Linked DNA regions of Macaca fascicularis. The protein of the gene in region 1 interacts with the protein of each later gene in a biochemical or structural test. Links are inferred from orthologs where the notes say so. Each region holds a gene or a part of one and is shown in the gene's direction. Other genes may lie near its edges.

Evidence for each region.
Region 2: of the proteins of CASP3 (region 1) and GZMB, one has a biochemical effect on the other in vitro, tested with the Homo sapiens proteins (2 studies listed by BioGRID). The link is inferred for Macaca fascicularis from reciprocal best matches to the Homo sapiens genes CASP3 and GZMB.

The regions. Positions count from the first base shown.
Region 1 is NC_088379.1:189,403,078-189,406,478, reverse strand, and holds part of CASP3 (caspase-3), read left to right. Parts: intron 1-262; coding exon 263-391; intron 392-711; coding exon 712-887; intron 888-1,174; coding exon 1,175-1,295; intron 1,296-2,792; coding exon 2,793-3,022; 3' UTR 3,023-3,401. UniProt on the Homo sapiens protein: Thiol protease that acts as a major effector caspase involved in the execution phase of apoptosis. Following cleavage and activation by initiator caspases (CASP8, CASP9 and/or CASP10), mediates execution of apoptosis by catalyzing cleavage of many proteins.
Region 2 is NC_088381.1:92,433,052-92,438,294, reverse strand, and holds GZMB (granzyme B), read left to right. Parts: upstream 1-1,787; 5' UTR 1,788-1,817; coding exon 1,818-1,872; intron 1,873-2,911; coding exon 2,912-3,059; intron 3,060-3,515; coding exon 3,516-3,651; intron 3,652-3,864; coding exon 3,865-4,125; intron 4,126-4,768; coding exon 4,769-4,912; 3' UTR 4,913-5,027; downstream 5,028-5,243. UniProt on the Homo sapiens protein: Abundant protease in the cytosolic granules of cytotoxic T-cells and NK-cells which activates caspase-independent pyroptosis when delivered into the target cell through the immunological synapse. It cleaves after Asp.

The DNA.
Region 1 (3,401 bases):
TAGACATTTGTTTCTGTTTTTCACCTGCCTAAACAGCTGTGAAAGATCATTTTGGCTATAACACTGATAAGCTTATATTATAAAATATAAGCTACAAAGTTGAAGAGATTTTGTGTCACCAAACTCAAAGTAGTTAGAGTTCTCTTACCATTTAAAAGGAAGAATTTATTGTGGACTTTTGAATTGCTAGGTAGTTAATTTCATTTCAAAGTAGTTATTCTTTGCTTTCAATACAATTAAAAGTAATTCTTTCTGTTCCAAGGAATGGCATCTCGGTCTGGTACAGATGTTGATGCAGCAAACCTCAGGGAAACATTCATAAACTTGAAATATGAAGTCAGGAATAAAAACGATCTTACACGTGAAGAAATTGTGGAATTGATGCGTAATGGTAAGAAGAAACAATTAGAAGAGTGAACTTCATTGTACAATTTTATATTATGGTCTAGCAATAATTACATGTATAATATGAGAATTGTGGAATTATACTGTACCTAACCCTAATCTTACATACTTTAGTAAGAAATTAAAAAAAAGTTATTTATGCCAACTTCCTAAAATAGTTTGAGATGTGTTGCTGTGCCCCAGGTTAGATTAAGATGATCTCTCAGTTTTATTCTCAGTTTCTTCATCATGTTCCCATACAGTATATCTGAAGTTGTTGAATAAAGTCATGGATTTTTTTCCTTTTATTTGCAAATGTCTTTCCAGTTTCTAAAGAAGATCACAGCAAAAGGAGCAGTTTTGTTTGTGTGCTTCTGAGCCATGGTGAAGAAGGAATAATTTTTGGAACAAATGGACCTCTTGACCTGAAAAAAATTACAAGCTTTTTCAGAGGGGATTGTTGTAGAAGTCTAACTGGAAAACCCAAACTTTTCATTATTCAGGTAATGTATAACTGAGTGATTTGGTTGTTGACGATTAAGCAGGGGTTACTTTTCTTAATTGGAAATTATCCAAAGGATTTGTAGTTTTTTTCCTGAAGTTAATGAACTATTGTTATTTTTCATTTATTTAAACTACCACTTAAAAGATACAGAGTAAATTTTAATTTTATACTTATATCAAAAAGGCTCAGCATAATTAACATCCATTTTTACATAACGTTTTTAGGAATAAGTTACATGTTCACACACAAATTTTTATAAATAAATATTTATTTTCTAACACCCAGGCCTGCCGTGGCACAGAACTGGACTGTGGCATTGAGACAGACAGTGGTGTTGAGGATGACATGGCGTGTCATAAAATCCCAGTGGAGGCCGACTTCTTGTATGCATACTCCACAGCACCTGGTGAGAAAGTTACACATAATGAATGTTACATGTGGATTTTAAATGAATTACACTGTGACTAATCAGAATTATACAATGAAGAGTGTGTTTCAGAGACTGTCAAGATTTTGATATCCCTAAAGATATCAAAACTTGTTTATATTTTAGAGAACCTTCATCAAAGAGAAGTCTCAAAAAGTTATCTTTAGCCAAAAGTTTGGCTAGAAAATATGCATACATAGCCAGGCACGGTGGCTCACGCCTGTAATCCTAGTGCTTTGGGAGGCCAAGGCAGGCAGATCACTTGAGGTCAGGAGTTCACAACCAGCCTGGCCAACATGGTGAAACCTCGTCGCTACTAAAAATACAAAAAAATTAGCTGGGTGTGGTGGCACATGCCTGTAATCTCAGCTACTTGGGAGGCTGAGGCAGAAGAATTGCTTGAACCTGGGAGGCAAAGGTTGCAGTGAGCCGAGATTGCACCACTGCACTCCAGCCTGGGCGACAGAGCGAGACTCCGTCTCAAAAAAAGAAAAAAAAAATGCATACATAGAGTAGACTAGCACGATGTCATTCATTGGACTTATGTGGCAACAGAGGCCAAGTCAGAGCTTCCGCTGCATCTTATAGAAGAAGAGAGGTATGTTTCTCAGGAATTATTTGAAAGGTAGTAAATAAAAAAGATAAACATGACTGGTATACAAGAGGATAGATGTGGAGTGGGAGAAAATAAAGAAGGTAAAAAATGATACATGAATATGCCGTTAACCTCCACTTTTTTACAGTTCCGCTGCACATCGTCTAAATAAATATTTGTTGATTATACCACCATTTACTTACACAACTAACTCAGGGTGTCAGAGTTTGGAAACTTAAAGTAAATGTATTCTTAAGCAGTGTGGCATTTTAAAATATGCTCAATATGGTTTATTTTATCCTCTAGGCATCTTTCCAAGCAAAGTACCTCTAAGTTAAAAGCAGTGGGTCTAACATTTAACCTAGAAAACAAAGTATGATAAATACACTATTTTCCCTTTTTAGAACTTTTGAATACTCGGTAGTGTGTTTATTATACTTTATTCAGATGCTCTGTAGACAAGCAGGACACTCAAAGCAATTTATTTCTAGACTAAGTCAGTATTAAAATAAGGTGAAATCTGATTGGAACACTGTGCTACTTAAAATGATCCTTTTTATACATCTTTACTTTTGCATCTTCTGTGTGTTTGCTGTTCTTGCCTATTGAAAGGGGAGTCCAAAAAGTAAAACTTTGAATAATTCAGTGTTCGTGAAGCTGGTCCCGGCCCCTGTCTTTGCTGAAAGCAGGGGCTGTACGCATAGCACACATTCTTCCTTCTTCAGCATCATTTCTTCTGAAACCAAAGGTGTCTTTTTTTTTTCTTTGACTAATAAGACTTGTGGGTTTATGCTTATTCTTGCCTTTATGACTACATAATAATTTATAGAATCAACTAAAATCAGCTATCCATGGTATTTTCGTTGTATTTTGCCTTTTAGGTTATTATTCTTGGCGAAATTCAAAGGATGGCTCCTGGTTCATCCAGTCGCTTTGTGCCATGCTGAAACAGTACGCCGACAAGCTTGAATTTATGCACATTCTTACCCGGGTTAACCGAAAGGTGGCAACAGAATTTGAGTCCTTTTCCCTTGATGCTACTTTTCATGCAAAGAAACAGATTCCATGTATTGTTTCCATGCTCACAAAAGAACTGTATTTTTATCACTAAAGAAATGGTTGGTTGGTGGTTTTTTTCAGTTTGTATGCCAAGTGAGAAGACGGTATATTTGGTACTTATTTCCCTCTCATTTTGACCTAGTCTCATACTGCAGAGGGTACTTTAAGTCATACTCCTTCCATCAGGTGGAACCACTGTGAAGCTACCTCAAACTTAGAGCCAGGTAGTTGCAATTGAATTAAATTAGGAATAAATAAAAATGGATACTGGTGCAGTCATTATGAGAGGCAGTGATTGTTAATTTACAGCTTTCATGATTAGCAAGTTGCAGTGATGCTGTGCTATGAATTTTCAAGTAATCGTGAAAAAGTTAAACATTGAAGTAATGAGTTTTTATGATATTCCCCCCACTTAAGACTGTGTATTCTAG
Region 2 (5,243 bases), on another chromosome or scaffold:
TTGAATGTGCTAAATGTCACTGAATTGAATATTTTAAAATGGTTAATTGTAGGTTATGTGAATTTTACCTCAATTTTTTAAATGGGTCACAAACTTATGTTTAGCATAATCCCCTTTTAATTTTAAAAAAGACAGATATTACATGAGAAAAAATGTGCTAGAGCATACTTCAAGACATTAAAGATGGTTATCAGTGAATTATGAGAAATTAGGTAACTTTAATTATTTTCTCTTTGCTCAAATTATTTAAAAATTACTTGCATGTTAAATTTTTTAATGCCTAGGAAAGAAAGACTATAGTTGTATTAACTAATAGATTTCTACAATTATTAGTAGAATAATTTTAGAAATGCTTAATTTGTAGGGTTAAGCAAGGATAAAATAAACTGCATTGTCTGTACAATGTGATCCCAAGTATTTAAAACACACTGCTTATGGTAACAGTCAGTCTGTGGGAGACAGATTAATAAGTGATATTTTCCCTTCCTACTTTCCAAATTTTCTTAATAAACATATGTTATGACTATAATCAGAAAAAAATATTTTTAAAACATCTACTATGGGGCAAGCTAGGTTCAAAAAACAGAAGTCTGATAAATGTAGTTGGCTTGCTATTGACAAGGAAGACATTTACACTGGAATTCTATTTTTGAGATATACCATTCTTCATAGAAAAATTGTAAAATACAGAAAATACAAAGATGGAAACAAATCACAATAATCAAACCACGTAGAGAGATTTAGTTTTTTTTTAATAGAATTGGGCACAGGCTGTTTAGAAACAACCATCTTTCACATCCATCATAACGATAGCATTAGTGTAGTTTGTTTAGCAAATGTTTACTGTGTGCCTATTATGTGCTGAGCCTGCTATGTAAGAAGTGTGGCTCTCTGGACAGGAGACAGAATACTAAAAAAGACAACTACTTATCTTTGGCTGCCTGGCATGCTTCCTCACTTCACATGGTATCAGCAGTTTAGCATTACAAACGTCCTTTAGAGAACCAGCCCTTTCTCATTCTTGGTTCTAGTGGCTTGAGTGGACTGACCCCAGCCTACCCAAAGTGGATTCAACTCCTAGCAATTTGTTAATCTAGCCCAATAAAATGTCAAGTACAGGACTTTTATTGAAAGCGTTCAGAAAAGAGGTGAACTCTCACACTAAATATTTGTAACTAAATAAAGGATGTTAGAAATTCCCTAGAAAGGAAGCTATGATAATAAATGGGTTGCTAGATGGGTCTAGTAGATGGTGGCCATACTTTGTTACTACCTTGTGTATTGCTCTACCATGGCCCTCCCCAAACTGTACTCTGGCTCCTGGCATTTGTCTCTTCAACCAGACGGTCAGCTCTCTAAGGGAAGGAGACACATCTCCAACATGCTTGGTTCCAGCACAAACTGCTAAAGAAACTATCCTGATGGATTTAGCAGCATGGCCTTGAGGCATTGGGGTTCTATCACTGGGAACTCAGGTTTCTGGTGCTTCAGTACCTCTACTGGCTGATACCATATCCTACAGTTCACTTCATATGCTTGGGTTCCTGCTCTGGGCTGAATAGGTAGTCTACTCTGAGTCATCAGCTGTGGGTGCTGATGTGGTCACTGCATGATTTTCACACAAGCACCCAGAGGACGTCATCAGGCAGAAGCAGTGGGGGTGGGCAGCATTCACAGAAAATCTGTGATGAGACACCACAAAACCAGAGGGGAACATGAAGTCACTGAGCCTGCTCCACCTCTTTCCTCTCCCAAGAGCTAAAAGAGAGCAAGGAGGAAACAACAGCAGCTCCAACCAGGACAGCCTTTCTGAGAACATGCAACCAATCCTGCTCCTGCTGGCCTTCCTCCTGCTGCGCAGGACAGATGCAGGTGAGTGATCGTCTCCACCCTCGGGGGCCCAACCCCATCCCATAGGTCTCCTGCCCTTTCTCCACATTCCTGATCCATCTATCTACCAGGAATGTTCTGAACTCCAGCTCCCATTGTACCAAGACCCCCCAGGTGTGATGCTGGATAAGCTATCAGCAGGAATGGCAGAGCAGAAGGCCGTTCTCAAGAAGAGCCAGTGGGTACTATCCCCTCTCCAGAGCCCACCTTTGTCACCTGGAGAGTGAGACTTTCCTAGAAGTAAATGGCAGAGGATGGGAAACTAGAAAAGAGAAATATTAAATTATTCTAGAGTAGGCCTGGCTTCTGTTTCTGGGATAACACAGGTCCTTCTCTCACCGTCTACTTAGGAGAGAAACCCAGAGCTCAGCTGACAGCAGAACTGGTGCAATCACTGTCCTCAGAACACTGTTAGTGTGTTTGCTCAGTCCCATTCTCCAACTCTGCTTTTCTTCCCTGGCCTTTGGTGGCTCCCCTCTTTCCAAGAATGAGGCACTATGGCAAGCCTGAACTTCCGTTTTCTAGAATTCCACCAGCACTGCTCTGCCAGCCCTCATCCAGAGGCTAACTGGAGCCAGTCCATCATGCAGCCATGAACATTTATTGGGCACCCACTACATGTCAGGCTCTAGGAAATAGCATATGACAGTATCTAGATCCCTCCACTTATGCCCTGGCTATTAGAAAGCAGCACTATCCTAGAAACCATGGGACTCGTAGGTCTTGGAAACTCACCTGAAACAAAGCAAAGTCAGGAAAGGAATGATCAGGAGCCTCTGGGATTTCACTGTCCCTAAGACAGGTATGCTTGCCTTCGACTACATATGGAAGAAAGATTTACAGACCAAAGTCTGCTGTTCTTCCCTTTTACAGAGCAGGAAATTGAAACCCCTTCCTCCAGGCCCCTCCCAACTCCAGGCTATCCCAGGTTCCCAAATGCCCAGGAATTCTGGAGCCATCAAGCAGGTGCCCACCCAGCAGATTCCGTGGGTGCACACAAGCAGAGAGACTTTTCCTTCAGGGGAGATCATCGGGGGACATGAGGCCAAGCCCCACTCCCGCCCCTACATGGCTTATCTTATGATCTGGGATCAGATGTCTCTGAAGAGGTGCGGTGGCTTCCTGATACGAGAGGACTTCGTGCTGACAGCTGCTCACTGTTGGGGAAGGTGAGGAGCAGAAAACAGCCCATACTTTCCCGGAAACACTCCACAGAGACCCCTGCCTTCTTCCCAAGGAGCTCCTTGGGCTCCTGGGAACACATATGCCAGGAGGGCTCCTTAGAGGGTGAGAAAAGGGCAGGTAAGTTTGTGGAGAGGGGGGAAGGTTGGTTCCAGAGGCGCTGCTGAAGTAAGAAACAGCAGAGTGACCAACCCTGCCATATTTAGAACCGGGGGCATACTTTGGCATAAGAATACAAACTGAAGCAATTCCACCGGTGTTTCAAGGGGGAACCGACCCCTGAGAAACATGGTGCAATTACCAGAATTCCAATTCCTGGGGACAGACTGTCCCCTTAATTTCCCCTCAGCTGCAGCCCTGCCCCAGCTGTCACCTGCTCTTCACTGTCTCTGGGCTGTGTCCTCTGTGACTCCGCCCCCATCCTCACTCTGCTCTCTGTGCAGCTCCATAAATGTCACCTTGGGGGCCCACAATATCAAGGAACAGGAGCGGACCCAGCAGATTATCCCTGTGAAAAGAGCCATCCCCCACCCAGCCTATAATCCTGAGAACTTTTCCAACGACATCATGCTACTACAGGTGAGGCACACTCCTGCCACTCTTGCTCTTCTTGAGCAAGAAGTCCGGTTGGTTCCACTCCCACTGTGATGCAGGCCCTTCCCTCCTTTCCATCCTGGCCTTTTGGTTAATTCCTGTGCCTCAGAGGAGAGAGAAGACAGCATAGTCCCATCACTGTGTCAGGGCCCAGAAGTTCATTGGCTGACCTGAACTTTCTTGCCTCTTCCCCACCAGCTGGAGAGAAAGGCCAAGCGGACCACAGCTGTGCAGCCCCTCAGGCTACCTAGGAACAAGGCCCAGGTGAAGCCAGGGCAGGCGTGCGATGTGGCCGGCTGGGGACAGACGACCCCCGATGGAAAATACGCACACACACTGCAGGAGGTGAAGTTGACAGTGGAGGAAGATCAAACGTGCAAATCCCGCTTAGGCCGTTATTACGACAGTACTGTTGAGTTGTGCGTGGGGGACCCAGAGATTCAAAAGGCTTCCTTTAAGGTGAGACTATGCATCTACCTGGATTGGCTCTGGGGAGAAAGATGTTTGGGGAAGATCTGAGACCTGCAGACCTAAGTAGTGGGGGACTCCTTCACCCACTAGACTGTGATCTTTCTCTCTGGAAAGAGAAAAGGGGACTAGACAGAGCTGGGGAGAAATTAGGGCCTCTGCAAACTTACAAGGAGGCTTATGGTGGATGGTGCTCCTTTGGAAGGATGAATTTGCAACACTCTACCCACTCCAGGTCACAGATATTAGGAAACTGTGCCCACTGGGAATGCAGTAATTATAACCAGGTGTGTCTTCAGAGGTCAGTACCCAACGTGGTTAATGGGCTGGTCCTCCATGGTGGATATCAGCCCTCCTTGCCCACTTCTGGGTCCTTAAACAGCCAACGGTCCCACATTCCTGCAATCTCAGGATCTGGGGGAGATGACGGAGGCTGGCCGCTGGGATGAGGTGAAGCAGTAACAATTTCCAGAGCCAGAGCTTGGCAGCTGGGGGCCACCAGCAGCCTGCCCTGCCCTCTCATCTCCCACATGCACGCTGTGCAAGTTGGCCTTTTCTAAGTGGGGGCTTGAGATGGCAGAGAGGGCAGGACCCAGAGGAGCATCAGCTCAGTCCTTCCACTCTCTATTCACAGGGGGACTCTGGAGGCCCCCTTGTGTGTAACAAGGTGGCCCAGGGCATTGTCTCCTATGGACAAAGAAATGGCAAGCCTCCACGAGTCTGCACCAAAGTCTCAAGCTTTGTACGCTGGATAAAGAAAACCATGAAACGCCACTAACTACAGAAAGCAAACTAAGCCCCCGCTGTGATGAACCACCTTCTCAGAGCCGAGTCCAGATTTACACTGGGAGAGGTGCCAGCAACTGAATAAATACCTCTTGGTTGAGTGGAAAGGCTGGTTTCTCGTTTATTCATTGACCCTCATTCTCAGGCACCAGTTCTGTGCTATGCAGGCCAATGACACAATTTTGCTGTCTTCTGCTTTCTCCTCTCCCCTCACCCCTTGCCACCTTCCCAAACCCCCACGCAAAGCTGCTATTCAGCTCTTTCCTATCCACACCAGTTTCTCTAGGGCCTGCCCTTCTGCCAGGGCTGAAGCTGAGCACCAT